Linked DNA regions of Cricetulus griseus. The protein of the gene in region 1 purifies or fractionates together with the protein of each later gene. This does not show direct contact. Links are inferred from orthologs where the notes say so. Each region holds a gene or a part of one and is shown on either strand. Other genes may lie near its edges.

Region 1 (10,774 bases):
TGGCCCTTGCTCCATCAATATCTAGGACAGACACCTAGGACCAGAGGGTATGACTGGCCTCAGGTGGGAAGGACAGTATCCATAATAAGCTGGGTTGACAATAAAAAAAATTACAAAAAAAAACCTGTGGCCACAAATGCTTACTCAGAAGTGTTCATCACCCCTAACCTCATCCAATCGGTTGGTTGCAATGAAGAGGGCAAGCCAGGCTGATGATGACAAGGGAATAAAGTTGATGCTCACAAGTATGCCTAGGACTTTTGTTCTAGTCCCTGCCTCTTGAGATGAGGGCTGTACTAATCTAGCCATTACCTGGATGATCATCTTTGTGAAGGGGTCTGTGATGACTTTCAGAATGTCTGGGGCATCTTCCCCAGGCTTGAACTGGAAGGTGTCCACCACAAGGTTGGTCAGGATCTCCAGGTAGTGGGTGGCAGCCTCCAGAGGCAAGAGCACCAACACAGAGAGCCAGTTGAAGAAGTCATGGACAGTGGCCCCTGCAAATGCCCTAAGGGAATGAAAGAAGCCACCACCCATATTATAAGTGAAGGGAACCAGAGGTTGGGCATTGTATTTGTTGTCATCCAACACACAGGTGGATGTCCTGTAGGACATTGTAGGACATTGTCAGCCAGTATAGTATTTGAGGACTGGAATCCTAACAACCATTGTTTAGCAGAATTCCATTAAGACTACCAGCCGGGTGGTGGTGGTGGCGCTCACCTTTAATCCCAGCACTCGGGAGGCAGAGGCAGGCGGATCTCTGTGAGTTCGAGACCAGTCTGGTCTACAAGAGCTAGTTCCAGGACAGCCTCCAAAGCCACAGAGGAACTTGTCTTGAAAAAAAAAAAAAAAAAAAAAAAAAAAAAAAAAAAAAAAAAAAACCACTACCCCCAATCCCTCCTTTCCCAAAAATTTAAGGCTGGAGAATGACTTAACACTGGCTTGGCCATTCTTCCAGAGGACCTGGGCTCAGTTCCCAAAGCCCACAGCTCCAGTGTCAGCAGGCATGCATGTGGTGCATTCATACATACAGGCAAATACACTAATAACTTTTTAATCTAAAATTATGTTTTCTCTGCATGCTTGTATGTACACCACACCCATGCCTGTTGCACCCCCCAGAACTAGAGTTATATATAATTGAAATCACCATATCGTAACTAGAATCAAACATAGGTTCTCTGCAAGAGCAGTAAATGCTTTTAACCACTGAGCCACCTCTTCAACTGTGCCTAGACCACTTGAAACTGCTTGGAAGGCAACCTGGCCTTTGAAAAGTGGAGAGCAATGGGGCAAACAATGAGAATCTTCTTACTAGCTTGCATGTGTGTGCCTCAACTGGTACAGGAGCCCATCAGAAGCCTGTGGACTTGAACTACAGGCAGTTGTGGGCCACCATATGGGTGGTGGGAACTCAACCCAGATCCTCTGAAGTACAGTAAGTACTTGAGCCATCTTAACAGCCCCCAAATTCTAAACCTTTAAAAGTTCAAAATTCTGAGACACACAACTTTCAAATTAAGAAATTAGCCCAAGCCAGGCAAAAAACAAACACTGCCATAGGCTTTCTTCTCAATGAAAATTGAAAAGGTTCCTTCTAGAAACATCCCCATGCCAGAAAATACCTACCACTAGGTATATTTGGTATATGACACTCTTCTTGATATATGCCACTCTCCTTCAAGCACTTGATACGCACATGGGGAAATAATTTCACCAGTAAAAGAAATGTACTGAAAGTTCCAGTGTTTGCTCTATGGCATTAGCTACTCTCATTCATCCTGGAGAAGGCAATGTAAGAGCCTTCATATACTGCAGATGAAATAGAAAATGATTCAAACATTTCCCGGTGCTTGGCAAAATGTACAAGAGCTCTATAAACACTTGATACAGTAATTATCGTAGATATCTAAAGCAATAATCCAAACCTCTGAGAAGGATGTCTCACACACACACAACCAATTCCACATACTGAAATAGTATACTTAAATAGTACAGGGACGGGGGGATAGGATGAGTCAGTTATATCCAAGCACATGGGCACCACAATAGGTCTTGAGCTTCTATTCTATAGGCTATTAGGCAGCAATCAGGTTTAAGTATTCATGAGATGAGCCCAAATTTTCCAGAATTGAAACCTAACTGGAATCCTGGCTGTGCCAGTCAATGACATCACTTTGTCTCCTTTGACTACAAGATGAATAAAGACGGCTGTCTGGCTTGATGAGAAGATCAAATTAAAGAGTGCCTGCTTTAATGTGTATTATCATGTCCATCAAGACATGTCATCAGGAACCAAATGAGGTGGCTCAGGTAGATGGACCACTGTGATAACCGATCACCAACCAGCAGACACGACAAACATGACCTGTTTCCCAACAACCTGCTATAATGTCATCTACTTGACCACACCAGGATGGCATCATAGACAAGTTGAGAATTGCTTCTATATTTTAATAAGCTCTGGTAAGAGTCTCTCACTGGGTAGAAACGCTGGGAAGCATGCCTAATTTCCATGTTAACATTTTAAGAGGGTTTCCCTTTGCCCATTTCCAACTGCCCTATTTTTGTATCTTACACGTCATAAACTGTGTTTGCCTTTGCCAGCTTACAGGTGAAGGGGTAGTTAGTTGAGCTAGCCAAAAATGGAAGTTTTAGGAAGTTATAATTATCTATGACTAAAAGACAGTAAAGTCTGCCCCAACTGGCCTTGTTTTAATGCTACCACCCAGCAGTACATGTCCAGCTAGTGCGTACCTTTCATGTATCCTGTCGCAGTGCCAGGTGCTTGCTTGCATGACTGTTTAATCATTACAATAACTTAGTGGTGCTGGATATTATTATTCTGGCTCTACAGATTAGTAAGTGGATTTTAATCAACTAGGATTCCCAATCCTAGTCGACTCTTGGGGCTCTGTACAGACAAACTCTGTACAGACACCTTTGTGATTAGATAAAGGCATTGACTCAAACAACAGACCTGGTGGGAACAAAGCCCCCCTAAGACTCCTACCTTCTGAACTCATTCCGGTCTCCTGCCTGCATAAGTGCCACAATAGTATTGGTGATGGAGGTTCCGATGTTGGCCCCCATGATGATGGGGATGGCAGCCCGCACGGTCAGTACTGAAGGTTAGAAAAGAACTGTGAGGCAGCCTGCAAGGCAGGGGAGTCATGTTCTACACATCCCAATGTGGGCTGAATGCACCGCAGCTATTTTCTATGTGGGGAGGGGTCCATACATAACAATACACAGAGGGGAGTGTATTGAAATCTAGAGAGGCGAGTCAATGAACCTGCCTGACTCCATTCTTGAATGTAATTTTAGGGCACTAGCTGACCCCCTGAAGCCCTATGGACCTTGCTTTAAAACTCCCCTGTCTTCTACGACCGAGCTCAAGCCATCTCACAGGACACCAGGAATCAGTCAGTGATTAAAGGAATGGATGAGTCCCAGAGTTGATAAGGACACCGGTTATGTGGCACAAACGCTCATGAGACACTGTGTGTTGTATAGATTAGGCTGTCCTCAAATTCACAATGCAGAAAAATTCTCATTAATTTTGGCTAAAATACTGGCATAAGTAAAAGAGATAAGAAGTTAATTGTGTCATGACGTAGACAGAATTAGAGCAAATCCAACTCACATGAGGAAGCAACCATGCTGACAACGATGGACGAAGATGTGCTGGAGCTTTGCACCATGACGGTCACCAGCACCCCAATCACTAGCCCAGCCACAGGATTAGCCATGATGGAGTTATTGCTGAAGAACTGGCCAGCTACTTTTCCTGAAAGACAAATGGTGGTTGTGTGAGGACAGACAGGGGTGGTAGCACCTAGTCCTAATGTCCACACGAGATCAGATGTCTGTAGGGTTGGAGCCCAGACTTCAGCTCAGCTGGGTCGTGCTTCCTGTTCTTTTTTCCTTGCACTGCTCTGAAGGAATCTCTGTCTGGCAATGTGAGCCTGGATCCACCTCCATGTCTTTGACATGGTTTAGCTCCATACTCAGTTATGGGTCTTATCTCTTCACTCTCTGGCTTCCCACCTTGAACCCCAGCCCCACTCCCAAATCAGCCAGCTTTTTTTCCAGTCTCCTCTGATCACGAACCAGGCTTAGTATAGATTGTAATTCCTCTATTCTTTATTCTTTAGCACCTCCCGCTGCAACTGACTCATCACTGAATTCTAGGGGTTTCTTTGGGAGTGTACCTATGTGACCCTCAGTCCTTCTCCAACCCATTTTATAATGGATGCCTAGACAGGGACTGGGTGTGAATTGTCCAAGATAATCATTATCATAAGTCAAGCCCCTTATGAATGTTCCTAAGGGCCAGGGAGACTTATCACATTCAACCTGTCAGGGCCCTAACAATTGACCTACCTCCCACCCCACATCACTCATGCCAAAAAGATCAGCCCTGCAAGGCATGGTGGCTCATGCCTTCAATTCCAGAACTTGGGAAGCAGAGATGGAGGATGTCTGTGAGTTCCAATCCAGCCAGAAATAGTGAGACCCTGACCTAAAACACGCTTGGAAAGGGTGTGGTGGAGCACTCCATTAATCCTAGCAGAGGCGAATGAATCTGAAAGCTAGTGGGCAATCTGGTCTAAATAGGGAGTTTCAGAACATCCAGATAGAGTCTCAAAGAGAAAGAAAGAAAGAAAGAAAGAAAGAAAGAAAGAAAGAAAGAAAGAAAGAAAGAAAGAAAGAAAGGGAAGGAAGGAAGAAAGGAACAAAGAAAGAAAATAAAAAGAAGAAGAAGACTTTTTAAATTTCTATTTATTTAGCTCAAGGCAGCAAGAGAAGCAGAATCCACAGGCTTTTGTGTCACTCTGATCTGTGCTCTGGAACCCCACTGTGTTCATTACAGGCTGTGTTTACAGTCTGGTTAGTTAGTGACCTCTGAGCCTTGGTCCTCTCTTACAAGTGGGAGAGACTTTAGGAAGGACTACTCCAGACAGGGCTACTCAGTGTGCTATCTGTTGTCACACATGAAGGGTCCAAAGTTAACTGAGCACATATGGCCATTTCACTTTTGGGTTTCTGGAACACGGGCCACTTTGTTCAGGGCTCAGTCCAGGGAAGGCATCTACTGTGGGTTTTTTCCAGCAAGAGCCGGCTTTGATCTTTCCTACTTGCTTTGGCCTGAGAGATTTTTTTTTCTCCCACACTCTCTAGACAGAAGCCTAGAGACAGCAGGGATTCCCAGATAAAAGGAGTTAACAATTTCCTTCTGGGATTTAGGTACAATAGGAGGGACTCTGATAACTACAATCAACTCCAAACCTGGCTCCTGGCTTAAGCTGCCTGAGCCACTTAGAAGCTTCAGTCCTCTTCTCCATGAGGAAAGTCTGAGCTGCTGTCAGGTCTGTCCTCACCCACGCCCAACCATGTTGAAGCATGAGGCTGAGGCGGCCTGTGAGCTGCGTCCACCTGACATGAAATTCAGGAGTCATGAATAGAGAGGCCTCAGGGGGTCCTTACCTCCAACCAGTTGGAAGGCACTGCTGAGTACATCCAGGGAGCATACGAAGAAGTAGAGGAAGCCCAGGAGAAGAAGGAATTTCCCAATCCCCTGAAAAATGCAGAGAATCTTCCCTTTGGTGTCTCTCTCTGTGGGGGGAAGTGGGGAAGGAGGGCATAACAGTTAGCATCTTTCCAGCTAGAACAGAGATGTTTACCACGGGAGCTCTCTGCTCTGCCTTCCACCACCGGCTCCTGAATCAAGGCCTGGAGGTGGGACAGCCTCCAGTGCAGCAGGTTCCTGGCAGTTCTCTTTGAGATGCATTTCACTGGACCCTCCTTCATGTTCCTGGAGTCAGAGTGGAGCGGAGAGCTCACTGTGGTCTGGGCCCAGAGAAGCAGCCCACCAGAATGGATGTTCAAGTGAACCTCAATGTCACTGAGAAAGCATGTGCCACCGATGCAGAGTCACAGGCAACGGCTTCACAAAGCACCTTCAGAACCGCACACACACCTTAAATCCCAGCACTGGGGAGGCAGTGGCAGGCAGATTTCTGTGAGTTCGAGGACAGCCTGGTCTACAAAGCAAGTTCCAGAATAGCACAGATATCAAAGCTGCAAGCTGTGCAAGCTGAAATCATAGCTGCAGTTTGTTGAGGGCCAGGGCCTTAGACTTCCCGCTAAGCTACAAAAGTGTCTTTTCACCTCTCCTACCCAACTCCCTTCCCCTCCTACCACCCAAGCCTATCCTAGCTGACTGGTCCACAGGCTGATTGTAACCCCACATCTGGAACAAACAGAAATAAGCTTTTGTTCACCCCAGCTTTGCTGGCTGTATTCTCAGCACTTCTTTTAAAGCCTGTCTGTTAGGGCCTTGATCCCTAGTTATTATTCTTTAGAACCCTGGTCCATGTGACATAAAGGTCAACACTGGACTGGCTGGGTCCTTCTTGCTGGTCCCTGCTGGATGCTGGACATCCACGTACCTGACCATTTGATTCCGGTGTCCCGGAGTTCAGGCAGGTCCCAGGGGTCATTCACCTCAGCGGGCTCCTCTATCAGGACCACGGTGGAACAGGAAGGTAGAAGTTCAATCTTGGTTACAGGAGTGCCACTGTCATCTGCTCAAACAAATAGCAAAGGCCATGAGGAATGAGAGCTAAATCTCTGTGGGTCCTTGAAGGGGGCCTGTCCCAATTGGTGAGGAACACTTACTTTTGCTGGTTTCCTTGTTCTTGGCTGCTGCGTTAGACTGTGGATCTGAGTCCCCTTCAATGAATTTATTGGGGTTGGGCTGGGCATTTTCCAACTCGGGCCACGGAGCCATGATCTGCAAAAGAGAAGAAAGACAGCGCTTGAGGATGCAGCCTCTGATGTAAAAGTTGCCTGAGAGAAAGCCATTCCTTGCAATTCTTAGGAATGGGAGACAGGAAAAGAGGTATTTACACCAATGGACTCTGCTAGTTACACCGAGGCAAGTTCAACTGCAAATCAGCACCAAACCTCCTTACCCAGTGGTCTCGACATCCACATACGTTAATGCCAGTATGTGATGCATACTCCTAGACAGCCCACCTGTTTTTCCTACCATGTAGGTCTTCCGTGAAAGTATGACAAAGTGTCACTCATGAGTTGATGTGCCTCAGGACTAAATACCTTTCTTTATGCCTTCAATCACTTGGTACCAGTTTCTCCTGTAAAATGGGACAATTCTTCATACTTCTTGAGCTATGAGATTGATAATGAGGCTAAAAGGCTGATAGATTGCAACTATCACTGGGTCACCCTATCATGATCAATGGCCCTTTATCAGAGCTTCATTGTTTCCAGCCCCTGGGAGGACTTCCTCATAACCCATTTTCTCCACAATACCCTTCTTAGTTACATGCCAGCTCACCTGGCTGGCCACCGCTTGCAGCCTATCCAGACACCATGAAGCAAAACAATCCAAAGAACAGAAAATTCACAGAAAAGGAAGTACAAACAGCTAAGAGTTTAGCCTCATCAGCAATTCAAGATATGCAAATCAAGTGGCATTGGCAGAGTGTAATCTACTGTTGTGCTGTGGTAGCCTGAGGCGTGCAGCTTCTCCATGGGTTCAAGGCCAGCCTCCGTCATGTAGTGGAGCTCTGGGGCAGCCTGAACTAGAGAAGGAGCATATCTCCAAAGATGTACCATGCTGGAACACAGCTAGGAAGCTCTCAAAAATGATGGCACTGTGGCTATCCTGCATCTTTGGCCTACTCATTTCTCTTATGGGAATTAGAAGGGAAGAAACATTAGCTCTCAGAAACACCTGCCTTATCCTCATCAATTCCCCTGAGAGGATTCCCAGAACCAGGGTCCAACTGGCCTCTATTTCCTGCTTACCAAAGGACAAGCACTACCAAGAAAGGGGCATCCTTAGGCCCTGAAGCTCTGCCTGGCCCTCAATAAGGCCCAATACATATTTATACCAAAAGGTATTTCCTGCTGTGTTCTAATGAAGGCAGATCATGAAGTAACAAAAAGCAGATCATTAAAGGTAGTAAGGGAAAACAAACACAGGCAAGTGCTTTTTATGATGAATAAGAGGCATACTTTGTCCCAATTCTGGCAAGGTTACAAGAGGGTAACTAGGATCCACTATCATTCAGAGTCGGGATGGGATAGCAACATCTATCCAACTTCAGGTTAAAAGGGCTGATTCTACCCAGGTATGTGGCTTGGTGATTTTGAGGCCAGCCTGGCTCAAAACTAAGCTCTCAGGTGGGAAAGGCAGTCACAACCATGACCTGAGTCCGTGTATGCCACTCCCTGAATTAATAATGCCAAGTAAGGAACACACTAGGACCCTAGTATTTGGGAGGTAAGGGTTGGAAGGTTGCACGTTCCAGACATACACAGGATAATGTAGTGAGAAGATACCTTATCCCTCATCCCCACCAAATCAGGGACTCCTGGTCTAAGCACATTTCCTGATGCATTGTGGGGAAACACCTGAGTGAAGGAGTAAGCTACAGGGATTTGTCTGAGTTAATATCAGGAATGAAATGTTTCAGACTGAAGGTCCAGCACAAGGCAAGTGAATGCCTTGCCTCACCTCACATGGAAAATGGAGCCAGTGGCACACTTCCTGGTCACACAAGGCAGGTGGGAGGAGGAATCTGACTCACAGCTCAAACCCAAGCTTCCTGTGTATGGGAGGAGTCTGTGACCTGCATTCTCCCTGGGGCTATCAACCTGTACACTGGTGCTATTGGACATCTCTACTTCAAGTTCACCCCAGTTTAAGCTAACTCTTTCTTCATTCTTCAGTCAGACACCCGTTCCCTTCAGCAGAACTTTCCTGTTTGTAACTTCTGCCATCATTGTCCCAGACTTTCAAAATCATCTCTGATCGTTCCCAAATCTTCCAGACCTAGTGGCTCTACCTGGAAGAATTTCCTGACTCAGCTTGCATATCATCCCACCAGCCTGGGCCCCTACAGCTAGCTCCTAACTGAATGGATGTCACAACTTCCCTAGTGGGTCCCCCACATCTTCCCATGGGAGACCCTTCCTCACACAGCTGTGCAATACACGGTCTCCCCTCCCCTCCCACATTCTACTACCCATTGCTGTCCTCAATTGACCTCTCTTCTCTAGATTACTTCCCCCACAGTGCAGCCCTGCCACTTTGGGGTTCCACTTCTATCCTGATACAGACAGTGCTTCAGTACTAAACTCAGATCCTCCCTCCTCTCTGCTCTGCCTTGTCGTCCTCTATCCTGGCACGTGCTGGCTGTGTGACTCATCTGGCACTCCATCACATATCACTATGACATCTCTTAATCTCTAATAACTAGGACCATTTAATGATCGTCAGAGAGCTGCCCTGTCCCAAGCTGGTACCTGATATACACATTCTTATTCAGGCTTTCTGCACAAAAAGCATGGTGAACAGTACCGCAGAAGCAGCCGAACAGCCGAAAAGACAGCACTTTACACAGTTCTGCCAGGTTGGGACCTCACCCAAGATACTAAAGGGCGACATCAACACTACTTGTCTCCCTGCAGTAGTTTTACTTATGGAATTGGGAAAGGGTGGCGGACCATGACTGGTGTATGATTTACATTTCAGATAAGCTGTTTTCATGAACTGAGGTGTTTATTAACCTAAACATTGACAACTGGGGCATACAGGTCTCTGATGAGGGTGGGGCTGGGGGTTGGGGGCTGGGGGGTGGGGGTCCTGTGTACTGAGGAATATTTAGCATCAGCCCTGTCTCTACTAAATGCCAAGGCTTTCACCCTAATTTTGACAACGTCTTCAAACATTGGCAGATATCCTAAGGGACTAAAGACAGTTTCCAGAGGAAGTTAGCTTTTTAGATTGCAACTTCCTGGATGTTAAAGACCAGTTTTGCTTTTGTGACATTGGGCAAGTCCTTTTGTCTTTGAGTTTCTCTGTATGCAAAATGACAACTGTGCTAATTAATGGGGCTTCTTAGAACAGTGTCCAGCACACTGTAGCCCTTGTGATTATGCTGTGCCTTGCTAAAATGACCACAGGAAATAATTCTATCACTAGGAGTTACAGGATTAAAACTGCAAGCTGAGTGTAGTGGCACACCTGTAATCCTGGCACTTGGAGGAAGAGGAAAGATAGCAAGTCCAAGACAGTCAAGTCATCAGTAAGACTCTATCTCAAAAAGAGGAGATAAAAAGCATTGAAGCTCATGCCAATTGCAGCATTCAGGTGGCAGCACTCAAGCCTGAGTTCAAGGCCAGCCTAGGCTATCTAAGGCTACACAGTGATACCTGGTCTCCAGATGCGCCCCTACCCAACAATAAAAAATCCAGCTTTAAGCTGGGCAAGGCAGTGAACTCATGTAATTCTGGAATTTGCGAGGCTGATGCAGGAGAATGGCATGATGTAGGTCAGACCAGGATAGTGAAACAAAAAGCAGGTATGTACACACACACACACACACACACACACACACACACACATGCCTTTAGGATTGCAATGGGCTATTGTTGTTACCCAAGGGACTAAAGGTCTCACATAATGGGCTCTGTATTCTTGGAGGCACACTGAAAAATTTGTAAAGCCATTCCCTGCTTTTATCCATCTCCTACTTCTAATAATCTTAAATGCAAGGACTGTTTTCCCCTCATGAACCTTTATTCCACCTTCACAAACTAAATTCTCAGAGGGCAGTAACCAGCTGACTTCTCTTCCAGTGCCCTGGGGAATCAACACAGCAACCAAATGGAAAAGCCAGTATTCAGGGCTTGCAAGTATTCAGCAGTATTCAGCAGGCAAGTGCCACTGGGG
Region 2 (10,485 bases), on another chromosome or scaffold:
CTGCACTTCCAGCCTCACCCAGGTCCTCAAATGTCCTTGCTCACTGTTTATGACACAACACTTATTGGTTGCTCAGCACCAGGAAGGGTAGAAGTCCTCTGATACCTGTCTTTTGTTGTTGCTGGTTTTCTATCAGTTTATTCCATCTATGCATGCACACATCCATCCATGGTGCATCCATCATCTCTCCATGCATGCATGCATCCAACATGTACCCATATATTAATGCACCCATCCATCATACACCCATCCATCCATCATGTACACATCCATCCATCCATCCATCATGTACACATCTACCCATGCATATATCCATCCAATTTTTCACTCCTTCAAATTCTCCCTATACACACGCTGAGCACTGGCATGAATGTGGGATGTAGAGTATTTGAGAATATTCACAGTTGAAGGATCTATGTGGTTATGCAAAAGGCACCTACCAAGCCCAGTGTGTGTGCATTTGTGATTACCCAGCATGCTTTAGATTGTGGCAGAGTATACACATTAATACTAACTACATGTTTCTATAGTCCCACTGCATGCTTACTATACTGGTTTTGTTTATTGTCACAATCCCACTTTACAATGGATGTCACTATTGCTTCTAATAAACAAACAGGGAAAGCAGGGTGGCAGACACAAGTCACACACCTGTACATGGCAGGCCAGGAATCTGAACTAAGCCTTTTATCAAGAAGCAAAACCCAGAACTGTCCTGTCTGCTGCACCCTGTACACAGAGACTTCAGTGTGTGGTGGCTTCTACACATTTGTTCTCTGATGCAATGAAGAGGGGGCTGAGGTTGCAATAAATTAAACAGTGTGGCCAGCTGCCTCTGGGTGTGTAGGCAGGAAGCAACTGTCAGCAACTAAAGACTGAGGACTCAAGGTTCTAAGGGGGACAACTTCATGTGTATTTACTGAAATATGAAATACAACCTTCTAAGGCATCCCCATCACTGCAGAGCCACTGGAGCTCAAACAGTATTTCTGCATCTGCATGCGTGTTCTCACTTGTCTGTGACAGTGGAAAAGAGAAAGAGTAGAAATTCAGATTCTCATATGAAAGAGACATGAGACTCCCCATGTATATAAAAATAACACTCGACTAAATACAATGGGTCATGTTTTGAAATCCAAGCTGTGTGACCCCAGACACCAGTTAACCACTCTGAACCAATTTCTTTGTGTCAACAATGAAGAGACAGTGATGACTCTATCTTAATGTATCTTTTTAAGATCAATGAATATACACGGCCATCACTGGCTGTAAGGCCATTCCCCTGTAATGCTCATGTTTATAAAATAAGGTCTTTCGTGCTTGATTTGGGCATGAGTATACTTTGGAAATCATTGGTATCATACACAAAAATATTCTATTTGCCACTGAGGATGTGGCAGACCCTATTCCTTAAATACAACACTGCTCTTAGGTTCTGGAGTCTTGGGTGAAATGTCTGCTGACAGGATAGTCATGGGAAGGTATGTCCCCCTCTGCCTCTCACCATCTGTCCACGTTAGGTTCAAAGGTGAGCCTCTCTCCAGTAGGCCACAGGGCTTTCTCTGGTTCCCTCTACATTGCTCTTCTGTCCTTCAAGCTTTTATCACCAGGACGAAGGGCTGGGGACCCTAGGGCCTGTGAGCACAGATGGAAACCAAGGCCTCAAAGTCCCAAGGCCCTTAACTAGTGCTAGAGCTAATGTTGGAAGGGAAACTAGAGAAAGGCTCTGAGCTCTACCAGTAAACGTGTTGACAGCAGAGGCTGCTTTCCAGCAATAAGGACAAGTTTATGACCAGGGAAACACCCCAACAAAAGCATCCACACAGAGCCACTCACCACTGCACCCGAGTGAATCTCCGGCTCATAGTTATTTGATCTATCATTAATTAAATTCTTCCTATGTGCTAAGCTCTGTGTTTGCAAGAATGAGTAACCTATGTCCTACATCCTCAGCCAGAATTCAAGGGCTCAGGCAGGGGAGACAGACAGACAATAGGAACAGACAATTACAAAACACTGCAGTAAGTACAAAAATGAAGGAATCAAAACTGACATGCCTTTATTCTCAGCATTCAGGAAGCAGAGACAGGAGGATTCCTGAGTTTGAGGACAGCCTGATTTATACAAAATGAGCTCCAGGATAGCCATGGCTACACTCAGAAACCCTGTCTTGGAAGAAGTGGGAGGAGGAAAAAAAAATCTGACATGGTGGCCAAAGCCTGTAATTCCCATACTAGAGAGGTGGAGGCAGGTCGATAGTGAACTTGGGGACAGCCTAGGCAAGACCCTGTGGAGAATGAAGAGACAGAGTCTAGTACAGAAGAGCATAGGAGTGTGGTCATAACTTCGGAGGAGGGTCTGTTCAGGTGGGAAGTACTTTGGGAGAAGACATTCCAGCAAAGGTGTAAGGATAGAGTGGAAGAAGGTGAAAGGTCATGGTTGATGAGAGCTATGTGAGAAAGGCATTCCAGGGGACCACAGGTAATGCAGGCCTGGCAACATTCCTGTGGAGTGTGGTGACAGAAGGGATAGGACTTGGCCAGGAACTAAGATCCAACACCCAAAGGGTCTTGTGAACGGAAGTGCCAGTCTGCTGCTTGAACTTTGTCCCCAAGGTGTTAAATACAATGCCTCAAATACAATACAAAGCAAAGGTGACTACATTTCTGCATCTTCCATTCCGAGGTCTTCTTCAGGGGCAATTGCAGGCTGTCGGAGAGCTGCCTGGCTGCCCAGCTGGGCTGGCGCCACCCTGCCTGACTCATTGTAATAGGCCCGTACTGAACTGCCTGCCTCCTGCCTCCTGGACATCTTGGTCATGCTGACCTCATAAGGTGATATGGGCACAAAAGGACTTGGCAACAGAAACTTCTTGGAAGCAGCTAGAAGTACACACTGAGCCCTGAGCAGGACTTGCAGTGGGACATTGGCTGAGAGGCAGGCAGGCAGGTCTTGGACAGAGGCAGGGGCAGCCTGCTGCAGTAGTTCCAGAGGCACCTGCGCTTCTGTCTCCTCCCTCCCTCTTTCCTTCCCTTCAGTGTTCTTTGGTCCCCTTGCTGACCTCAAGTTAGCAAGAGAACTTGCCATCACCCTGCAGAGAAAAGTAGCCTCTGTTCTCATCTCAGCCTTGGCGACTCTCCAACAGCATTGGGGGAGGGGAATTAACTTGTTTGCTTGCTTGCTTGCTTGCTTGCTTGCTTCCTTGACCAACAACATTCTCATGTAGCCCCGGCTGGCCTGAAACTCACTGTGCAGCCTGAGGATGACCTTGAATGTCTGATCTACATGCTGGAACTGTATGCATGAGCCCCATTATATACAGTGTTGGGGATAAAACATACAGCCAAGTGCATGCCAGGCAAACACTCTACCCACTGAGCCACAGTCCAATCCTCCAGTGCCTTCCAGAAGCCAGGGCATCTCACAGCTCCAGCTGCCATTTGGAACTATTCCCTCAGCTCTCCACCTCCATCTCTCTACAGCCTCACCCCATTACTCCACCCAGGGTCTTTACAGCCTCACTGCCAAACCCTGTTCTCTATGATTTCCTTAATAGCAGGTCCACGGCTCTGCCTATGTCTCCCCTGGTGATTCCTTCCCCTGCTCCTTCCTCCTATAACTCCCTTTCTTCTGAGTCCTTAGGTTCCATGGCATATAATACAGTATTAGCTTACCTACCCCAATCATTCCCAAGGATTGATCCAAGAATCTGCCATGCCCATCTCATACAATGCCAGGCTGAAATTTCTTCTTCCTCCCTGTTCCTGAACCCTACCTAATCTTTCCAGGCTCAGCTCAAATGCCAGCCAGACCCTAAAGCTTTTCCCTATCACCTTACCAATGGATTAAGTCTAAGAGGGCTCTGCTTACCTTGGTTAAATTATGTGTTTTGTGAACCGCACAAGAGTAGCTAGCACTTATGTGTCCTGTGCCTCTGGAGAACTGACCATATAGTAACTCACTTAATCACCCCCAAGCATCCTATGTTATTATCATCCTATAGTCCTCATGAATCAACAGCCAGTCTAGAGGAATCAGGATTTGAATGCACACAGACAGGCAGCAGGTGCTCACCAGGTGTATCAAGAATTCTCATGACTTCCCCCTGTGTATGTTTGTCCCTCCAGACGCTAATGAGCTCCTTGGTGAGAATGGACTAAGTTGCTGCTCTCTTCCCAGACCCAGGGAACATAAAGAACTTCAGGTTGTAGTGGTACTCTGGGGCAAAGTAATTTTAGATTGGCATGTGTCTTCCCTACATTCACACGATAGTAACTTTTCACTGGCCTGGTCTCCCAAGAACTGAGATTAGCAAGCTGCTGGAAGGAAGGATGTAAGAAGGAAATATAGGTGCAGACTGCCTGAAGCCTGCATGGCCAAGATCTGACAGCTGGAAATATGATAAACAGCCCACACATTCACGCGGAGCCACCTGAAAGCCTGAACTTTTGTGATGGTGGCCATCAGGAACCAAAGGCTGTGGACATGCAGGGCTGGAAGGCTGGGGTGAGGTCAAAGAGAGGCAGGACAGGTATTGTAGGAGATCTGGCAGAGGAGAGCCGGTCAGCAGGCTCTGCAGGACCCATAGAGGCCTGAGTGTTTGATCCCTCCCACCAGACAGACCCAACACGGTGAAAGGTGACATGATTGCCAATGGTCTGATAATCTATAGATGTGAAGAGTCAGGAAAAACTGGTTTGTCCTTTCCTCCGTGGGTACTACCCCACTGAGCTTCTTCTCCAAGTCTGTGTGCACTCTCAGCTTTCCCATAGCCGAAAGGGCAGTGACTTTCTAGCCTCAAGAGCAGCTCATCTTACCAGCTGGGTGGTCTGCAAGCTCCTGATTCTGTAAAATGGGGTGAACTTGCCCATCACCCCGAATGAATGCTACAGAGGGGACGAGCGCGGGCCTGTGCTTCCCGTGGATCTCGCGATCTCCTAGTGCTGTCTCCCAGTCCAGGTCCTCTACTACCCAGGAAACCAAGCAGACACTGCAGACGTCTGCGCCCACGAGGAGGGAGGGCCAACTCCCCAGGGAACCTCCTACCCTTGCAGCTTAAGTGGCGACTCCCACCAGGGCAAGGCAGGCTGCAATTGGAGGGGGTGGGGTGGATCTTGAGCCTTGGGTCCATCCGTCCCTTCCCGTCCCTCCCCGTCTCCTACACCCACCCACCCGCCGGCGCTGGCTGAACGCTGCTTACCTGCGGCTCCAGAAGCCCGCGCTGCTCAGCACTAAGGGGCGCCGGGCGAGCAGCGCGAAATGCTGAGAACACGGGGATGCGGTGGTCCGGGCTATACAGGGTGGCAAAGCGCTCGGCGCCAGCGAAGCGCTGACAGATCCTCACGTGCGTCTCGGTTGCCAGCCCGGCGGGTGGGGTCCCTGCGTAGAAGAAGCGGTCGCACTCTCCGAAGCCCGCTTGGTGCGGGAGCAGCAGCCGGGCCTGCAGCAGCCCCACCAGGGCCAGGAGGCCGCCCAGGGCGAGCCAGCGCGCACAGCCCATGGCGGCCTCTGCGCGGCCAGGCTCCGCAGGAGCAGGGAAGTCCGCGCTGTGCAGCTCCGGCGGGGCGGCTCCGGACCAAGGCCGCGCCCCTTCTCCGCCTCCACCCCGAAGATGGCTGCAGGGCTCGGCCCGGCTTTCTGCTGCTGCACCGGTGCGTGGAGACTGGTCACCTGCTACCGCGTTGCTGCGGAGTGCCAGACTCACCCCTCCGCGCTGGTCTGGCCTAGACCAAGGGACGGTCCCCGGGGCTGGGACTGAGAAGCCACGGCTGGCTCGCACCAGGGCCCTCCGGGATGCACAGGGGCGGGGGATGCACAGGGGCGGGAGATGCCCTCACAGCAATGCTCTCCGGAGCCTGTGCCTGCCCTTCCGCATCAGACCCTGGGCGGTGGTGAAAACGCTTTTAATCCCAGCACTCGGGTAGCAGAGGCAGGATGATCTCTGTGAGTTCGACGTCAGCCTGGCCTATAGAGTTAGTTCCTGGAGAGCCAGTACTGTTACACAAAGAAACCCTGTCCCGAAAACAAAAACAAGAAAAGAAACCCGGTAAAAGGCAGTCACGGTGGTAGAGGCAAGGGGATACATCATTCAAAGTTCAACAGGGCTCCGTAAGACCCTGCATCAAATAAATAAATACAAACAAACAAATAAATCCCCGTTAAAGGAAGTTCCTAGGCTGACAACACAGCCCTGCTGTGGTTTCCTTGCTTGGGTTAGACATCAAACTGAAATTCAGCACGGAAAGAGACTGCAAACATCCTTTATTCCTCCCACTGCTTGTATGCCCCGCACACCTCTACCTGGAATTAGTATAGTGATAGCAAACAAGAGCAGGGGCTCTGTGTGGTGAGTACAGCTTGCTGTTAATTCAAAGGTATCCTGTTAGGGGGATCACTGAAAACCCAACGTGAACCCACTGCGTGACTCCTACAGGACTTTAGGAAAAGATGACATCTGAACTGAAGCAGGAGGGAAGCAGCCCAAGCTAGGGCGACTTTCTCCAGGAGGGAGAGGCAAGTGGGAAGAACTTGAGAAGGCTGATGGTATACAGACCAAAGGAAACGGGCTGGGGTGTTGCTTAGTGGGTGGAGTGCTTGCCTAGTATGTAGAAGCCCTGGGTCCCATTCCAGGCACTGTATAAAGTAGGTGTGGTGATCTGCACAGAGAGGAGTAGAAGTAGGGGGAGCAGGAGTCCAAAGGCAGGGTGGGCTTGAGACCCTGTCTAAAAACTAATGAATTAATTAAACTTAAAAAGTGACAACTAGCCGCTGACTTAAATGTTTTCTCAGAAGCACTAATGGATTATATTATAACCCGATGTTTGGAAAGAATATTATAAATTAGGTTAATGAGCCAAACAGGGTGACTCTAGAGAGAAGGGACCAGGAGAATTAAGAATTTGAGACCAGCCTGGGCTACAAAGCAAGACCAATCTCAAAAAGAAAAATCAAACAAAACCAATAAAAAAATTGTTGAAAACTTGGATCTTTCCATCATATTTCTGAGCAGAGAATGATGTACTAGAGCGGTCAGAAAGAATGAAAAGCAAAAGCAGGCTGGGGAGATGGTTTAGAGGTCACAGTGATTACCACACAAACTTGGGAGTATCAATTCAGATATAAGCATGAGAGTCTATTTGAGTTTGATGCACAGAACCTGAGTCAAAAAGCAGGGCACAATGACACAGGCTTGCAATTTCATGCTGGAGAGGTAGAGGAAGGTGGGTCCTTGGGGCTGGAAGGAGAGGCTCGCCTAATTGTTGAGTCTCAGGCCAGTGAGAGTTGAAGTGGACATCTCCTGCTGGCACACCACACACACACACACACACACACACACAACACACACACACACACACACACACACACACACACACACACACACACACACACACCACACACACACAGCATACATACCTCTGCCCCATTACCTTACCCTCACGGTATCCTTGAGTTTCATCTCAGTCTCCTATGAGTGGCTGTCAGATATAAACAACATTTGCACACCCCACAGATAGTGTCTTCTACTTGACTTGCTTTTGCTCACAGTATGAGACATTGTTTTAGCTTTTTGTTTTGTTTTGCTTTGTGATTGTTTTTTTTTTACATGCTCACCTTTTGACGATAAAAATTATAATTTTGAATTTGCTTTTGAAAGTTGCAAATTTCCTTGCTCCAAGTTTCTGAAAAAAAAATTACAGGGTGGGAAGGCCTAGAACTGATTCAAATATTTGCTGAACACTTATTCCAGGGGCAGCTTGTCTTAGCAACACCCAGGAATGCCCATCAGTCTGTCCCTGCTGTTTTTGCCTTGGTCACCCTGAGTCTCCCTTTTTCTGCTGACGCTGCTCACAGAGGGGGCAGTTTTGGCTTGAGCTCCTTTAGATCTCTCCTCACAGCCACACAGCACCTGTCCAGCTGAGGCCTGAGCAAGAGACAGTGGTGAGATGAAATACAATGGCATCACTGTATGCTTCTGTGGTTTGGGTTCTAGTTGTTTGAAAGTATGAGCCTCCCTTGTCCCCATACTGTGAGGACTGCACCCTACCACCACACTAAATGCACCAGGCCCTCATTGCTCCAACTCTTCCCACTCTACTTTGCAAATGGGGTGACCTCCTACCAAAAATATGACTCCATAACTCTACTTGCACACTCTCCAATCACTCTTCCCATGCCTTCCAATAAAACCAGCACACACACACACACACACACACACACACACACACACACACACACACCACTGCCCCTCTTTCTTAGGTCTCCTCTCTTACCACTCCCTCATTGCGCCATGCCCTTGGAGCTGTTCAGTTTCTCCAGCTCCATAAGCATGCGCATTCCCCTGGACCCTGAACCTCTGCATCAGGAAGTACTTTTCTCTCCCCTTTGCTTGCTTTTCCCTTACAGTCTGTCCTACCTACCTCACACCCTGAAGCCACTCAGCTTCCCAACAACCTTATACTTACTCCACCCCACACACACCCAACTTGAGGTTTAGCCCCTGTTAAGCCCAGCACTCCCTCCTCCACCTGTGCTATAATTGCTTTCACCTTTAGATAGGAACTATGTGTCTGTTTTAAAGTCAAATTCCAATGCAGGGAGGGAGAAGGAAGAAAGGAAAAGAGGGGGGCGGGGGGAAAAGACTTTTCTCTAAGACACTTCATCTAGGCTTTATAGATCCAGTCCATTTTCTCTCAGAATGCCTCCTTTCCTAATATTTTATGTGTGTGAGTGTTTTTCTGCCTGTGGTCTGTGAACCACTTGTATGCCTGGTGCCAGTAGAGGCCATCAGAGGATGTCGGATCCCCTAGAACTGGAGTTATAGACAATGTGAGCCACCATGAGAATGCAGAGAAATGCATCTGGGATCTGTCTCAGAAAAATCTCTCTCTCTCTCTCTCTCTCTCTCTCTCTCTCTCTCTCTCTCTTAACAGACTTAATTCACTTTATTTTTCTTGTATAAAAACCTTTATGTGGTGGCTACAGCTGGAGCCTGGGCCCTCTGAACAGAGACTCCGTTGAGGGTTTTCACAAGATGGTCAGTGAATTCCTGATGGAGACTAGGTGAGCACAGTCTCTTTCCAGAGGTCGGGGGCCGGGTAGCTGTAGGTCTTGGAGAGGCATCAAAGGAGGACTAGGCAAAGTTGCACAGGGTGGAAGTACAGGCCCTGGCTGATGTGCAGCAGTCATCAATACCAGCCATCATCAGTAGCTTCTTGGGCACAGGAGCAGAAGCAATGCCAGTGCCTCTGGGGACAAGGATGAGATGAACCAACACACACAGTGGATGTCACCTTGCATGGAACAGTTTGGGGCTTGCCAATCTTGTTCCAATAGCCTATCCACACAGGCACAATGGAAAGCTTGGCCAAGATAATGGGCCCTTGGATGGCAGTGGCTACTTGGACCACTTAACCCCAAGATCAACATGACCATTATAGTCCCTGATAGCGTCAAAAGCTTTGAATCTGGTCCACTGTTTCTGCACGGGCATGATCTTCAGAATCTCATCCTTTAGGGTTGTGCCCAGGAAAAAGTTAATAATCTCAGATTCCCTAGTAGGCAGAGGGAACAAGCAGATTTCTGGGGACTTGATTTTCATGTCCTTGACCAGGCAGCCCAACTTGGTGACAGAGATCCACTCTTTTCTTTGGCTTTACCTCCAGGAGCCCCCTGGCCTTGACCAAGATCATGGCCCCTAAGGCAGTTGCTGGCCTCCTAATCCTAGGCCACCTCATCCTCTGGGGCCTCCTGCTACACAGTGTCATCCACTATTTTGTTGTTTCCCACTGAAGAAGCAGCCAGAAAGTTTCTTAAATGCCCACCACGAGCCAGTGACTGCACTATCTGCTGGGTATTCAGAGGAAATAGAACCTCATTTTGTTCCCATGTTCCCCGGTATTCTCACTCCAGCACCTTTTGGATCCAGGTGGGCTCTCAGAAGAGAAAGCAGAAGTCAGCAATGCCCCAGAAGCTTCTGCCTGAGACAGAAAGAGCAAGGTACATGATGGGGAATGTCCTCCTTTCTGTATGCTGTGAATAGATGTTTCTGTTATTGGTTAAATAAAATGCTGATTGGCCAGTAACCAGGCAGGAAGTATAGGTGGGGCTACCAGACTAGGAGAACGCTGGGTAGAGGAAGGCAGAGAGGGGCCGCCGGAGAGATATTATGTAGCTGCCAAGGAAGAAAAGGGACCAGGCATCACCAGTAAGTGCGAGACCATGTGGAAATACATAGATTAATGGATATGGGTTAATAATTAACAGAGAGCTAGCCAATAAAAAGCCTGAGCCATCGGCCATGCAGTTTATAATTACTATAAGTGTCAGTGTGTTTTTTTTGGAATTAAATGGCTAGACCAGGTGGAAAATAAACTCTGACTACAGCATGGGCTTTGCAAAGTCACAAAGCTCTGAACTATCAAATGAAAGCAAGGTCAGGTGACCTCCATGTCACAGGAGTTGAAACATGACAAGAAACACAGACAA

What was found. Proteins that work in one complex are often made in the same cells at the same time.
Region 2: the proteins of Slc34a2 (region 1) and Endod1 purify together in Homo sapiens (co-immunoprecipitation; 3 studies listed by BioGRID and IntAct, counting the BioPlex papers as one, with this or other methods). This does not show direct contact. The link is inferred for Cricetulus griseus from reciprocal best matches to the Homo sapiens genes SLC34A2 and ENDOD1.

What each region holds. Positions count from the first base shown.
Region 1 is NW_023276807.1:121,294,149-121,304,922, reverse strand, and holds the start of Slc34a2 (sodium-dependent phosphate transport protein 2B), read right to left. Parts: upstream 6,800-10,774; coding exon 6,688-6,799; intron 6,597-6,687; coding exon 6,459-6,596; intron 5,623-6,458; coding exon 5,494-5,622; intron 3,794-5,493; coding exon 3,650-3,793; intron 3,129-3,649; coding exon 3,017-3,128; intron 509-3,016; coding exon 313-508; intron 1-312. UniProt on the Homo sapiens protein: Involved in actively transporting phosphate into cells via Na(+) cotransport.
Region 2 is NC_048597.1:127,843,788-127,854,272, forward strand, and holds the start of Endod1 (endonuclease domain-containing 1 protein), read right to left. Parts: upstream 5,780-10,485; 5' UTR 5,501-5,779; coding exon 5,201-5,500; intron 4,965-5,200; exon of another isoform or gene 4,872-4,964; coding exon of another isoform or gene 4,818-4,871; intron 1-4,817. UniProt on the Homo sapiens protein: May act as a DNase and a RNase. Plays a role in the modulation of innate immune signaling through the cGAS-STING pathway by interacting with RNF26.